2 linked regions of the Tamandua tetradactyla genome follow. The protein of the gene in region 1 purifies or fractionates together with the protein of each later gene. This does not show direct contact. Links are inferred from orthologs where the notes say so. Each region holds a gene or a part of one and is shown in the gene's direction. Other genes may lie near its edges.

Region 1 (7,252 bases):
CTAAACCTGAAGAATGCCCATAGTTCAAGACAGGAAGAGGGAGTTGTTAGCAAAAGAGGTGGCTGGTTTGTTGCAGATAAATTAGTAGGCACTGATGGGACCAGGCCTTGTGGAAGAAACAAAAGTCTATTATTCTCAGGACATCCCTTTCCTCATTTTCTTGAAGAATCAGTGGGTATTTAAGAACTAATTTAAAAACCAGCAATTTTGCTGCTTGGAACATATTTCAAAGATCTCCTCAGCTTAATCAGGCATTTAATTTTTGGTGGTGGGGACCTAGAAGCGACCTAGATGACTGACATTGGGGGCGTAAATAGGTGTTATGTAGATTCACATCACAGCATTAGGCAACAGTTAAAAGCTCCAAAATATATATGCATGTAACAGCATAAATGAGCTTTTAAAAAAGGTATATAATGAGCAAAACAGCATTTTATATGTACAGAACAGCATTCTGTAAACTAGAAATGTGTGTATGAAACAATAATACCCAATTTTGAAGAATATACACAAAATGACACAACGTAAGTATATTAGAAGGGTTGCCCGTCAAAGACCAAGTTCTCGTGACTGAAGGAGAATGGAGTGAGATACGGGGATAAAAGAAAAAAAGTTTTATTATTTTTAATTTTTATAAACTACTTTTAAAAAGAGTAAAACAAAAATTATATGGTAGGTTTATCTATAAGGTGGACTACTATGCAAGAGTAGTTTTTTTTGAAGTAGTTTATTTTGAAAAGTAGTTGACAAAGGAAGATGCACAATACAGAATTTTTGAGTGAAAACATGATACAGATATTTATGTGATCTCAATTATGTAAAAGACATACAGGCATGGGTGTTGGTTAGCTGATGGCTGGGGGTAAGTGGCCGTACTGAGTCAGTCACACAGACACACAGCACACAGCACATGACTCAGGAGACAACCCTCAGGGGTGAGTGGAAGGTGTCCGCTTTATTGAGGAAGTGCACAGGCTTATATAGGCTGGGAGCATGCAGGGACACGTGTCGGGCTAGGATTGATCACCGTTGTTGCTAGGGTGGAGGGCGGATTTCTGGGATTGGCGCTTTTGGTGCAAACCACCACTAGTTCCGGGAGGAAAGCCGGTCGCGGGCTAGGCCATTTTGTGTTGCCTTGCATCAACCACGGCAGCCATGTTGGCAAATTATGACATCTCCGTCACATGGGAAAATCTGGAAAGAAAAACAAAATGTTTACATATTTGTAGGAGGTGGGACCATGTATAATTTTAATTCTTTCTACATTCTGTATTTTCTCAATTGGGTTTTTATCCTTACTGTGTGAGATTCAATAAGAGACCCCCCTTCCCCCCCCCCAAAAAAAGAAAAGGCAATGTAATGTTGAACAGCTTGGGTGTAGATCCACCCATGAAGTTCTTTATCGGATTTTATTATATGGAGGAAGAAGGCAAGTCCACTAGGTGAGGCCGAAAGGCCCATCAGAAATAAGCCAAGTGAATGTCGGTCCAACTCCCCTCTCCTTTTCATCCCTTGTCCAGCTCTTGGAACAAGCCCTGGTGATTGAGGAACAGTTGCGCCGGGCAGCTTACCTGAACATGTCAGAGGACCCCTCTCACCCTTCCATGGCCCTAAATACCCGTTTTGCTGAGGTGGAGTGTTTGGCAGAGAGTCATCAGCATCTGTCCAAGGAGTCAATGGCAGGAAACAAACCAGCCAATGCAGTCCTGCACAAAGGTAGCCAGTGGCTCCCCTGCCTCCTGCTGGTTCAGCCTCCTCCCCACTCCACCCCTCCATAACACTTACATACTTCTTTCCCAAACTTCTTAGGGGGTCCCTTTGTCTGGAAGGGTAGGATGTGCGGTGGGTCTTTACCTTCCTCCTTGGAAAGGAAGCTTCTATTTTAGAGGCAGTCAAGACAGCAATTCGTAGCCTTTTAACTTTGAAATATGTTCATGTTTTTGGAGGTAGAAGGCAAAGCAGAATAATGTGTCATCTGGGATACTTTAGAGGTAATGTTAGGTAATTTAAGATCCCTTGACATTCTAGGCCCCTTTCCACATTTTGTCCCTAATTAAAATAAAACTCTGCAAAGAGGGTAGATGGTGAAATGAAGAAAAAGGTTTTTTGTTTTTGTTTTTTTTTAAATATAAAGGGAGTGGGGGGCAGATCTAGAAGGTGGAGGGAGAGGAAAGACAAGAATGAGAAAGGAGATGAATACGCTCTTGAGAAGTGGAAGAGGCAAGGGAAAATAAGGATTTAGGTTACTTTAAAAAGCACAGAATCGTGGAATAGGAGGAATAGGAATAGGAGCATGTTGGAGGCCATTTCTTGTGACTGATAAAAGACAGACCACGCTCCAAGAGTCTAGCACATCACAGGTACTTGGTCATTAAGAAGTGATGGGGGGCTGGTCCACTGTGGTGGAAGGATATGAGTCTTGACCACCACAGCTCACCACCTCTTTTTTTTCCTCCTGCAGTTCTGAAACAGCTGGAAGAACTGCTGAGTGACATGAAAGCCGATGTGACTCGACTCCCAGCTACCATTGCCCGAATTCCCCCAGTTGCTGTGAGGCTACAGATGTCAGAGCGTAACATTCTCAGCCGCCTGGCAAACCGGGCACCTGAACCTCCCCCACAGCAGGTAGGGCCATTTTCTGCTTCTGGCCAGTTCTTCCAGCAGAACTATTCTGGAACTTGTAATATTGCACTATGTTCCTAGCTTTACATGCTGGGCAGGCGGGGTTGTCTATCAGGGAATTCCCTTAACTGTTGTGGGCTGGAATTCTGACTTCCTTGGCTCTTTCCCTACAGGTAGCCCAGCAGCAGTGAAGATCCAGATTGATGATACCACCTCCACCGCTGAGCAGTGACCTTCCTCTTTCCCTTGTCCCAGCTTCTCTCCTGGGGGCCTGAGAGACTCTCCTTCCTTCTGTCCCATCGTCCATGTTGTAAAGAAACAGCCCCCCAACCCTGGGGGAGGGGGAGGGAGTGAGGGGCAGTGGTGCCCTTCCTGCTGGAGAGACATGCAGCAGTAGCGCCGGCGCCATCTGCAGGGAGCTGGTGGGCTGGCCCTCTGGGCCCTGGCTTCTCCCCGCTGTAAAGCTGTAACGTCTGTTACACACAAAACTGTTGGTGGGTTCCCGCCAGGCTTGAAGAAAATGATCTGAATTTCTTCCTCCTTTTGGTTTTATTTTGTTGGTTTAATTTGTGTTTTCTTTTAATCCTTTTTGGGGTATTCAGAGTGGGCCGGGCCCCTGGGTGAGACACAGCTACCTCTGTTGGCATCTTTTTAATACCAGGAACCCAGCGGCTCCAGCCACTGAGCGGCTAGAACGAAATAAAGTGAAAAATTAAAATAAAAAAAAAAAAGCATAAAAAAAACAGCAAATTTCTTGATGAAAATAAAAATTTCCTTGTATTTTAGTGCTCTGGTTCAGTGTGGGTGTAGGTGCAGGTGGATGAGTGTGTATGACAGGAGTCCTGGGAAATGAAACTAGATACTACCTTGTGTCTGTGGGCAAAGCCAGGTGTGCTCCCAACCAAGGGTGTCTCAACCTGTGGAAAGTGAGCCTTCCAAACTGCCTGGGCCTCTGCCCTGCACTGCTTAGTGGCTCTGACCTTGAGCATGTTCTTTAATTACTGAGCTACGAACTTATCACAGATAAAATAAGGACAGCTTCCTCATAAAATGGCAGGGATTACACCAGTAAGGTGCCTGGAACAGTTTTTGACGCCTACCAAGCACTACCTCACTGTCTATTTGAAGCCAGGTGGAAGGAGGTTCCTGTGGTCAACTTTTGCGGAACTAGGATGCAAATTTTTTCCTAGGCACTGGGAAACCTTACCTGAGTGGGGCTAAGTAGGAGTCTGTGGGGTGTACAAGGAAGAAGGTTTCCTAATCAGAAGTTTGGGGGATGGAGATTAAGTGGCCTGCAGGTTCTATGATCTTGAGGCTGGACGTAGGGCGGTCGGTGGGATGTTGCGGGAGAGTTACAGCCTGGTTCGAGGGCTACTTTTTTTACTTTAAATCTGTCGTGAGGCCAAAAGTCATCGCCGGGAGGGTGGATCGGGGGAGCTGAGAGCGGCTCGGTCCCCATTCCCGCCTCCCTCGGGAGCTATATGTGGGGCGGAATGCTTCCATACCTCCCCGGCGAGTTCGCAAAGCGGACGCAGGATCCGGACCCGCCGCCACAGCCGAACAGTAACCGGAAGGGGCGGGGCCATGAGGCGAGTGCGGCCTGTGCGCCTGCGCGGGACTTTTCCGTGGAGTGGGTGGTCCGAAAGCTAGCTCGGGAGTGCACGTGGAGTGTGGCACGGGGGGCCGAGGGGCAGCTTAGGCCTCGTCCGGCTTTCGGGTGAGCAAAGGGTGTGTTTGGAGGCAGTCGGGGGAAGAAGGGTGGCAGCGCTGACCTGGACTGGTGTGTGGGACCCCAGTTCCGGGTCTTAGGGTGGGTGGCGGTTAGTTGGGTCTCAAAAGGCTGTCCGGGGCTCCGAGCCGAGATTCTGGTCGAGGTGGTGCTCTGTTCCTGCGCTAATTCCTGAGCATGCGTTCCTCTTGCAACGCGCCATTCCGCCTTCGATTTTTTTCCCTCCAGTATCATGGGGCGCAAGTTGGACCCTACGAAGAAGGAGAAGCGCGGGCCGGGCCGAAAGGCCCGTAAACAGAAAGGTGCCGAGACAGAGCTCGCCAGATTCTTGCCTGCAGGTAAGGGTCAATCAGGGTCAATCCTGGCTCCCCTCCAGCTCCTGGATTTTGCTCTTATCTATCAATAACAGCCTCCCTTGTTTTTAGCCTCTTCACTTTCCGTTCAAGTGAAACCTTCTCTGTATGATTTATTGGAAAGTAAGTATGAACGAAATATTTGTCAGTATGATTAAAATTTAGAACTTACGGGAGATGCCACGAGTACACAAGTACCCATGCAAGGAGAGGTGCATTTTAACAACGTGGGAGTTCACAGGAAGGGAAATCCCAGGCAGTTAGGGAATTACAAAATATTTTTTTTGCTAAGGAGCTAGGTTTTGAAAAATGGTTAGCATTTGGCAAGTGGGAAGGGACAAGCCAGTCACTGTGAGCTGGATTGTGGAAGAAATGGAGATTGATTTTTACCGTGGTGGATTGGTGGATAGTCTGCTTGAGTGCCGCGGGGCAGACTGGTGGGAGGGCAGACTGGAAGGTAGTTTATTTGGGGCTTTGTATAAACGATAAAGATTCCTAAGGTATTACCAAATGCCTGGCACCATACCAAACCCATTAGACATAGTGATATCATTTCATCCTGCCTGTGAGGGCAGCCCTATTGTCTTGATTAACAGTTGAAAAAGTAGAAACTGAGAGTTTAAGTGACTTGTGTAGTTATTAAATGACATGGTCAAAAATTAAATTTTTTATTTCTTGGAGAATTATGAAAAATAGTTGTGAAAAAATCTATTGTATTTGGTAACTGATTACATAGAGAGTAAAAGAAAGGGCAAAAGAAAAGATAAATTTTGAATCTGGGTTGTTATGAGAATGATGATGTTTGTTATTAGAACCTGAAGTCTGAAGGGAGACCCAGTTTGAATTTCGTTGATGAACAGCCAGATGAGTGCTTAGTTTCTTTTTATCCAGCTTCTGGCAGAGTACTGTGGAGTGAGTTACAGTCTACTCCCTTTCATTAGTGTAAGTTTTCTTCCTGTCTTTACTTTCTCCCCCACTTCTTTTCTTTTCCCCTGTATCCTCCTATTCTGCCTCTATTTTTTACAGCTGGTGATGAAAATTCCAAGAGGTTGTCTAGTCGTGCTCGAAAGAGGTGAGTGTGGGTGTTCAGATTTACATAGATTAAACTGATGCTGCTCATATTTAGCCATATGGAATAGGCTGATGAGCAGGACTGATTTGGGACTCGCTGCTTTGAATCTGTGATGGGGAATGGCAGAGCCTGCAGGTGTATTCCCGTTTCCTCACCCATATATCTTTCCAGGGCAGCCAAGAGGAGGTTGGGCTCTGCTCAAGCCCTTGAGATGAATAAGTCTCTTAGGGCTAAACCATTGCCTGGAAAGCTGCCAAAAGGTTAGTGAAAATAGGTGGGTGCTATGTGAGGGTTCTCTGGGTCTTTGGCCAGCAGTTCTGGGAGAAAGGAACAGTCAGGAGGATATTTTTAGGGGAAAGTCCAGGATCCAGGGGTTGTGGGACAAGGAAGTGTGTGACTACCATCAGTCTAGGATTCTTTAAATGCTTAGAAATCTCTGCAGGAGCTGTCCAGACACCTGGTAAGAAGGCAGCCCAGTCCTTATACAGCACTGCTCAGGGCAAGAAGTGTCGGGCACCATCCCATAGCAGTGATGATGAGGAGGAGAAGGAAGACCCTGAGGAAGATGGGGAAGTGACCCAGGGGGACCTCTGGGGCTCTGAGGACAGTGACAGTGATACCAACATGGTAGATGATTATGGAGCTGATTCCAGCTCAGAGGAGCAAGATGAAGAGGTGAGATTCAGTGGATATTGAGTAAGGTATCCTTGCCTCTTGGTTTCTTTCCAGATCTTGTTGCTATTCCTCTGTGACAAGGATAAACCTTACTAGAGAAGAAGGATTTTAGTGCTTTCTCATTCTTTCTCTACTACCTGACATTCTCAGTGCATGAGCAGGTTTAGAAGAGCTATTGAATAGAAACTTTACAAAGGAGAGAGTGCTCAGTGATGGTGAGGATGTGGTAAGGTGAGCACCTGTGTGTGCCACTGATGGGAATGGAAATACATGCAGACTTTTAAGGTTTGTTATCTAGGAACTTTAAAAAGTTTCTTCCTTTTGACCTGATTAGGAAGATAACCCAAAATGTAGGCAGGTTTATGTGATGTGTAAAAGGTTATTTACCCTCTTACACAATTAATATTAGGAAAATTCAAACATGATAGAGCTCTGTGGAGTAGAAAAGGAAAGCCCTCATTTGTACGCCTCCCACAGCCTCCTTCTTTCTTGTTCTTTTTTTTTTAATTTTTATTAATAAAACCAATCAACATATGAACATTCTTTTTTTATCACATAGTTGTATATTTACCATCATGATCATTTCTTAGAATATTTGCATCAATTCAGAAAAAGAAATAAAAAGAAAACAGAAAAAAAATTCATACATACCATACCCCTTACCCCTCCCTTTCATTGATCCCTAGCATTTCAATCTACTACATTTATTTTAACATTTGTTCCCCCTATTATTTATTTATTTTTAATCCATATGTTTTACTCATCTGTTCATAAGGTAGATAAAAGAAGCATCAGACACAA
Region 2 (7,456 bases), on another chromosome or scaffold:
CTTTTCTTACTTTTTCTTTTTTTTTTAGTACATTCCTGGACCCTTGGATCCATGCTTTTTATCAGTTCTGGGAACACTGAATCCATTATCACTTCAAATAGAGTGCTTCCTCCTTTTTTCCTTCCTGACTTCTGAGCTCCAATCAGGGCAGAAATTATAGCCTCTCATTCCATAGCACCTCCTTATCTCAGGAAAAATGGCTCCACAACATCTTTCAGTCTGCTAATGGTCTCTTCAGTTGTACCTAATTTATTAATGAGCCATTTGCATTTCTTTAATTTCAACAATGGGAGTTTTCATGTCCACACATTTCATGTCTGTTCATTTCTGCTTGCTCCCTTGATTGTGGCAGAGATAAAGCTGCATGCTTCTACAACAGAGGTCAGCAAACGTTTTCCATGAAGCATCAGATGGTAAATACTTTAGGTTTTATGGACCAAATATAGTATCTATCACTTATTCTTTTTTTTTTTAATAATCTTTTAAAAATGTAAAGCTCAATGAAAAAAACAGGCCACAGGTTGGATTTGACCCCTAGTCGATAGTTCGTTGACCTGTGCTCTAGAAAAAAAATCACACACTTCATGTGATACAACTGTCAGTAAGGCAGAGGAAAGCTAGTACAGTATTAGTAAGGGAAGTGTTGAAATGAAAGTCCCTCTGGTTGTGAGCCTGGTGCTGTAGCCTACAGGTGCAGGCAAGTGATCCTAGAGACCTCACAGGCCTCACTGGAGATACCTGAGTGCTCATACAGCATGGAAGCAGTGGAGGCCTGCAGAGAGGGCACCTGGAGCTTGGAGAGTCTGAGCATCCAGCTGGCATTGGCCTATCTCAGAAAACATAGTGCACACGTCCGGGAACCAGTCCAAAGCAGCCATCCCTGAGCAAGGGTAAATGGGCTCCTAGGACATGGCACTAGAAACTGAGCATGAATAACTGAGGCCTCCCCCACATTCCTTTGCAATTGGAGAGTTGGTCTCATAAGCCCTCTTGCTATTCTGAGAGGAGCAGGGGAAGAGAGAGGATTTCTAAACAACTCTTACCTTAACAAGACTTCATACCAGATGTTGCTGGTAACCAACAATTGTCATTTACACATCGAACATGTTTTCCAGGTTCTGACAACATTTAATCAGGGTAACAGTAAACTGTCTGTTGCCACAAGAAATTGAAAAAGGAATATATAACTGTTTTAATACATAAAACTAGAGTTGTCTAGAGAGGAAGTGTCCATATGCAGAAGGCAAGGCTGAAGTGATGGGAATGAATCAGAGCAGGAGGGGGTATCAAAAATGGAGACAGATGAGAATTGGGACTCAGCTGACAACAGGTAACACGAAATGTGTATGCATTTATCAATAAAAGGGGCAAAAGAATGAGGCAAAAGAAGACCCCTAACATTTTTTGAGCTCCTCCTACCTGAGGCACCATGCCTATAGGAGAAGTTCAGTAAATATTTGCTGAAGGGGTGAATAAACTCTCCATTTTCATTCTTCAGAAGAAGTGAAAGTTCAGGGAAAATAAGTAACTAAATTAACGTCACCAGGCTTTGAAGCCAAACCTACTGACTCAGTTTTGTACTTACTGTTGCTTAACAAGCCATCTCTAAACTATTGGCATAAAACCACAATATATTATATCTCAGAATTCTGTAGGTTCTGGGAGCTCAACTAGACAGTTCTGCTGTTCTCGTTTGGGGTCTCTCATGTTGCTCAAGTCAGATGACAGTTGGGGCTGGAATATCAAAACCCACAAGTCCAGGGCCTTGGCCTGGATGGTGGAGAGTTGGAATACACTGGGAAAGGTGGACCTCCGTCTGTTTCCACATGGTTTCTCCAGCAGAGTAACCAAAGTTCTTATAAAGCAACTAAAGGCTTCCAAGAATGCAAATGGCTGAGGCCTGGAACAGGCCCAGAATCCCTTCTGCTGCATTCTGTTAAAGTGTCACACAGCAGCCAGGTAAATGTGTGTGTGTGTGTGTGTGTGTGTGTGTGTGTGTGTGTGTGTGTGTGTGTGTGTGTGTGTGTGGAGTGGGGTACAAAACTAACGACATGATACCAGGAGGTATGGATGGCTGGTAACCTTCTTTGGAGACTGGTGACTATAGGTGATGCTGTGAAACCAAGGCCTTTAATCTCTCCGTTACTTCAAGCCAAGATGTGCAGCCACAAATAGCACCTAATTGGATATTCTGCCTAGAAAGATCAACTCTGGCAGTGACGAGGAAGGTAGCATGCAGAAGGGGAGACCAAAAACTTTGTAAAAATCCACTTTCCTTGTAAGGACCCAACCTAGACAAGGAGCAAACAGCCCAAGAGAAGGGACAGTTACTTTCTAACATCAGGGGAGGGCCAGGTGCCAGGGAGAGAAAAAGGAAGTCAAAGGAATATTTTATTTTGGCATTTACCCACATTCCCATTTACCTGTAAGCATTTGTATCATACTAGTTGAAGTACATTTTTCTATATTTATCTCTTTAAATCAGCAAACTACTTCAGCAACAGGTAGTTTGTAACCAGAAAACTTGAGTATAACTAGTTAACTTTCACCTCAGTGGATGACTCAGATTGTTCATATCATGACTTAATACACAGAAATGTATGTGTCTGTATGTAGATATGTATGTATACCCACACACACACTCAGAAGTTTGACAAACTACTATCTTTTATCCTACATGGCATACCCTATTTTCTAATCTCTTTAATCCTGATTCTGTTGTTGTTTAAATGGCTGTTGCTAACTAAATTAATTCTATGTCCATGAATGGATTCTGCTTCTGATTTGAAAATCCCTGCCTTACAGGAAAAACAGTAACACCAGGAAGATTTAGAATTAACTATGGAAATAAGGAAGTAAATCCAAATGATGGCCTTAATATTTTTCATTATGTTTTAGAATCATTATTGGTATTTTGCATATTTACGTTTAGAATTTAATGTACTGAAGTATGTAATAGATAATTTCACGGTTCCCCTTTTAAAATGAGAAATGGAATAACTGATTCAGACTTGCCATCATAAATTGCTATGCACACAGAATTTAACCGTGCTTGTAAGCAATATTGAGATTTTTAAGAGATAAGATAAACCAAACATTTTTTCAGTGTAATGTATTAGATTTATAAGTGAGGTAATTCTTGGGTTGTTTAACAAGTAACTGAATTGCTTAAGAAAACAAAACATTACATTTATAAATGCAGTTTATAGTTATTGGAATCCAAGTTATAAAAATCCCTCGGGCAGACCACAGTGGCTCAGCAGGCAGAGTTCTTGCCTGCCATGCCAGAGATTCGGATTCGATTCCCGGTGCCTGTCCATGCAAAAAAATTAAATAAATAAATAAAAATCCCTTTAAAATGACCATTCTAAATTTACCAGGAAACCTACTACTTCAGGATAATCAGGTTTGGGATTCAAAACTCTAATATTAATTATTAAAGCCAAAGTAACTTCAAAGTGGTCTTCCATGTGTCCAAAAGCCGCCCTGGAGGACAGGGCAGCAGCTCCAACTCACTTAGGTCTGCGTGAGTGTTAAGAGTGTAACGCAGTTAGGAGCGTCCATGTGAGCGAGCAACACGTGGCCCGCAAAGAGCAGAGTCTAGGGAGTAGGAAACCGGCCTGGGAACACGTGGTGGCACTTTTCTTTACTACTTGATTAATCATCAATTCCATTTTAAAAATGAAAAGAAAAAAAAAACCCAAAAAACACGAAAGCCACGAGGAATATAAGTTTCCTGCAGGGTCTGCTCCCGTGTGTCTCAGACCTCCAATCCAGAGAAGGAGGAAAAGGGCGCGGCGGCCCACGGGGCTCCTGAAGGGTTCGCCCCCGCGCGGAAGGCCGGTACCAGGGGTTCGGGGGACTCGAGGTGGAGTGAGGGGTCCGGAGCCCTAAGTCACCGCGATGAGGGCAAATCTCCTGCCTGGGCTGATCGCCGCTCCCCACGCAGTGCCTCCCACACGGACTTCACCAAGCTCTGCTGCACCTAACATAAATGATGAAAACTCGAAAACTAGGGCTATTATCCACAGAAACCCTTTTGCAAAGCGCTTTGGAGGGCTTTGGAGCCGACCAGGTCGGCGCGTCCCCAGCAACCCTGCCGCCAGCGCCACAGTAGGGGGCCGGAAAAGGCCGGCACTTTAGCGCTCCGCACCACCCCACTCCGGAAGATACCACCTCTGCGGACCCGGACCCTTCCGAAGGCTCGAAAATGGTACCGTCCCCTCTCTCTGATTGGCCAACGAGCCGAAGGCGTGACTTCCGAAGCTGTTTCCGCGCGCCAGAGCCCGCTCGCCGCATTGCGAGCCGGGCAAGGAGCGGGCGCCATGGTGAGGAGTGGTTGCGGGTTGCGGGCTAGGCGAAGGCCGTGGCCTGGGCTCGGACTCGATTACGGGACTGGGCTGGGGCCTGCCCGGGGAGCAGGGGCCGAGCGGGCGCGTGGCCTGCGCTGATGCTCGCGCCCCGGCTCCTGTTCCAGGTGCTGCTGCACGTGCTGTTCGAGCACGCGGTCGGCTACGCGCTGTTGGCGCTGAAGGAGGTGGAGGAGATCAGTCTGTTGCTGCCTCAGGTGGGTGGAATCAGTGGGTCCGCACGGCACAAGTGGATAACCCGCGGCGATGAGCGCCCAGCGCGGGTCCCAGCATGCACCGCGCGCTCCCACGTGGCCGCCGCGCGTGTTAGGGGTAGATCCTGGGCCTGGAAAGCTCGAGAGTCGGGGGTCCTCACCTTGATTTATGACCGCAGTCATTTTAGGAGCTTTAACAAATAAACTTTACTCTCTCTTGGTACCGATTGAGGCAGAAACGCAGGCAGTGGGGCTGATGCATCGTTATATTTTAAAAGCTTTCCAGTTCTTAAGTGCATCCAGGGCTGAAAACTTCTGCTTTACTGCAATTTAGAAGCTTGAACGAGAGAAGGAAACCGTTCATCTGTTTGTTCGTACCCCCAGGTAGAGGAGTGCGTGCTCAACCTGGGCAAGTTCCACAACATCGTTCGTCTTGTGGCCTTTTCTCCCTTCTCCTCTTCCCAAGCTGCCTTAGAAAATGCCAATGCTGTGTCTGAAGGTGAGCTGGTCACCCCAAAGTATTTTAGGGGAAATAATGGAAATGTGGTTCCTGCCACCATTTATCCTTGCAGGGTGCTTAGCAATAGTACTTGCGTTTCGTCGGTTACTTTGTTCTAGAACTGGGATGTACGGAATATAATTTAAAAATAGCTGTCTCCATAGAACTCAAACTTTGAGGTACTTGATGGACGAAATGCTTTCATATTTAAAACTTGCAATGCAGAATGTAATTTTTCGTTGTGGGCACTGGAATGGTAATTCTTAACCGAAATCTTGTGGGAAGGGCAGGTTTAAAACCACTTATGCTCCAGTTTTGACTAAACCCAGTCAAGTGGTCTGGTTTCCTTTTAGATCCTTTATTTGACTGGAAGAGACAGTTCTGGTCCCAGGAGATCAATGAGGTTCTGGATACTTTTGTCATGTTTGAGGCTATGTTTTAAGCTAAGTTTTTGATACTTGTATCATGTTTGAGGTTATGTTTTAAGCTTAGTTATATATTTCATACTTGTGCTGTTGGACGTAGGTCCTGTTCCTCCCACCATTAAGCCAGGCTTTGCAGTGATGACTTGTGAGTCTGTCAATCCCCTGAGTTTAGACACTGAAGTCTCCATGTCTCTGAGCAATGCCGGAAGGAGGAACAGAGGGTGTCTCTAGCATTAAATCAGTATTTATGAGGGTCAGGGTCCTTATACCTGAAGCATCCTTCATCACGTTAGTGGGAGCTATGTTCTTTGCCCCCAAGGCGTTGTTCATGAGGATCTTCGCCTGCTCTTGGAGACCCACCTGCCATCTAAAAAGAAGAAAGTACTTTTGGGGGTTGGGGACCCCAAGATTGGTGCTGCTATACAAGAGGAGTTAGGGTACAACTGCCAGACTGGAGGTGTGATAGCCGAGATCTTGCGAGGTGAGACCCATCTCTTTTATACTCACACATTCTTTGACCTCTTTGAGGGTGGGGATGTTTATGGTTGCTTCTAGGAAGCCCCATGGTTGATTCCCATGGGTGCAGGAGCTAGCTCAGATGCCTTCCTTGCTCACAGTCCTTCCCTTCTCCAGGAGTTCGCCTGCACTTCCATAATCTGGTGAAGGGTCTGACCGATCTATCTGCTTGTAAAGCACAACTGGGGCTGGGACACAGCTATTCTCGTGCCAAAGTTAAGTTTAATGTGAACCGAGTGGACAACATGATCATCCAGTCCATTAGCCTCTTGGACCAGCTGGATAAAGACATCAACACCTTCTCTATGCGCGTCAGGTAAGGAGTAGGGATGACCCCTGAGATTGGGGTCTTTAGCCTGTGATTTCACTAATTTTGAATCCTGTGATGAGGATTAGCAGCTCCTGTGGGTAGAACAGGTGGGGTGGGGCTGGACCTCCTGGTGCTTACCACAGGCTGTGTTCTTGCACTGACTGTATAGAAAGAGGAGGCAGAGTAAACCCACCCCATCTACACCACAGCCCAGGCCTTGTGCTTGGTCTGTATTGTGAATGGGGGGACATGGAGTTGAGAAGGGGCTTGGACCCTGGCTGGACCCATTTCCTACAGACAAACAGTCAATGTGGAAATAGCTGAGGGTCTGGTTTTACTGTTTATGAGACATGGCAGCTGGACCCAGGAGATAGCTATCGCTCTTTGCAGGGAATGGTATGGATACCACTTTCCGGAGCTGGTAAAGGTTGTCAATGACAATGCCACATACTGCCGCCTTGCCCAATTCATTGGAAACCGAAGAGAACTGAATGAAGACAAATTGGAGAAATTAGAGGAGCTGACGATGGATGGCGCAAAGGCCAAGGCTATATTGGATGCCTCACGGTCCTCCATGGGTCAGTACAGCAGAACCCAGCAGCCAGGTGTAAAGTAATTGGGTCTTGAATATCTGGCTCTCATATTCACACATAATATTTCCTAGGCATGGACATATCTGCTATCGATTTGATAAACATCGAGAGCTTCTCCAGCCGTGTGGTGTCTTTGTCAGAATACCGCCAGAGCCTACATGCTTACCTGCGATCCAAGATGAGCCAAGTGGCCCCTAGCCTGTCGGCCCTCATTGGGGAAGCGGTGCGTCAGGGTGAATACCAAACGGGGAGAATTGGGATGTTACCATGCTTGTCTGCACTGCTACATTTTCTGACCCACCATATCTTCCCCATGGGAATGTGAGCAGGGGTTTATACAATTCATAGACAGGCAGTTTCCACTTCTCTGACCTTTTCCTCAAATTTTTCTTCAGGTAGGTGCACGTCTTATTGCTCATGCTGGCAGCCTCACCAACCTGGCCAAGTACCCAGCATCCACAGTACAGATCCTTGGGGCTGAAAAGGCCCTGTTCAGGTACCAGTGAGGGTACCTGCCCAAACTCAGGTGCCACTTCTGGTGCCCACTGC

The links.
Region 2: the proteins of NOP2 (region 1) and NOP56 fractionate together in Homo sapiens (co-fractionation; 3 studies listed by BioGRID and IntAct, with this or other methods). This does not show direct contact. The link is inferred for Tamandua tetradactyla from reciprocal best matches to the Homo sapiens genes NOP2 and NOP56.

The regions. Positions count from the first base shown.
Region 1 is NC_135333.1:68,856,637-68,863,888, reverse strand, and holds the start of NOP2 (28S rRNA (cytosine(4447)-C(5))-methyltransferase), read left to right. Parts: upstream 1-4,225; 5' UTR 4,226-4,339; intron 4,340-4,579; 5' UTR 4,580-4,583; coding exon 4,584-4,689; intron 4,690-4,776; coding exon 4,777-4,827; intron 4,828-5,730; coding exon 5,731-5,776; intron 5,777-5,947; coding exon 5,948-6,036; intron 6,037-6,218; coding exon 6,219-6,451; intron 6,452-7,252. Other genes in the region: CHD4 (chromodomain-helicase-DNA-binding protein 4), read left to right, coding at 1,521-1,716, 2,462-2,625, 2,796-2,813. UniProt on the Homo sapiens protein: S-adenosyl-L-methionine-dependent methyltransferase that specifically methylates the C(5) position of cytosine 4447 in 28S rRNA. Required for efficient rRNA processing and 60S ribosomal subunit biogenesis.
Region 2 is NC_135327.1:24,397,224-24,404,679, forward strand, and holds the start of NOP56 (nucleolar protein 56), read left to right. Parts: upstream 1-4,435; 5' UTR 4,436-4,450; coding exon 4,451-4,567; intron 4,568-4,948; coding exon 4,949-5,063; intron 5,064-5,618; exon of another isoform or gene 5,619-5,688; intron 5,689-5,807; coding exon 5,808-5,969; intron 5,970-6,121; coding exon 6,122-6,320; intron 6,321-6,435; exon of another isoform or gene 6,436-6,567; intron 6,568-6,704; coding exon 6,705-6,892; intron 6,893-6,978; coding exon 6,979-7,130; intron 7,131-7,302; coding exon 7,303-7,403; intron 7,404-7,456. UniProt on the Homo sapiens protein: Involved in the early to middle stages of 60S ribosomal subunit biogenesis. Required for the biogenesis of box C/D snoRNAs such U3, U8 and U14 snoRNAs. Part of the small subunit (SSU) processome, first precursor of the small eukaryotic ribosomal subunit.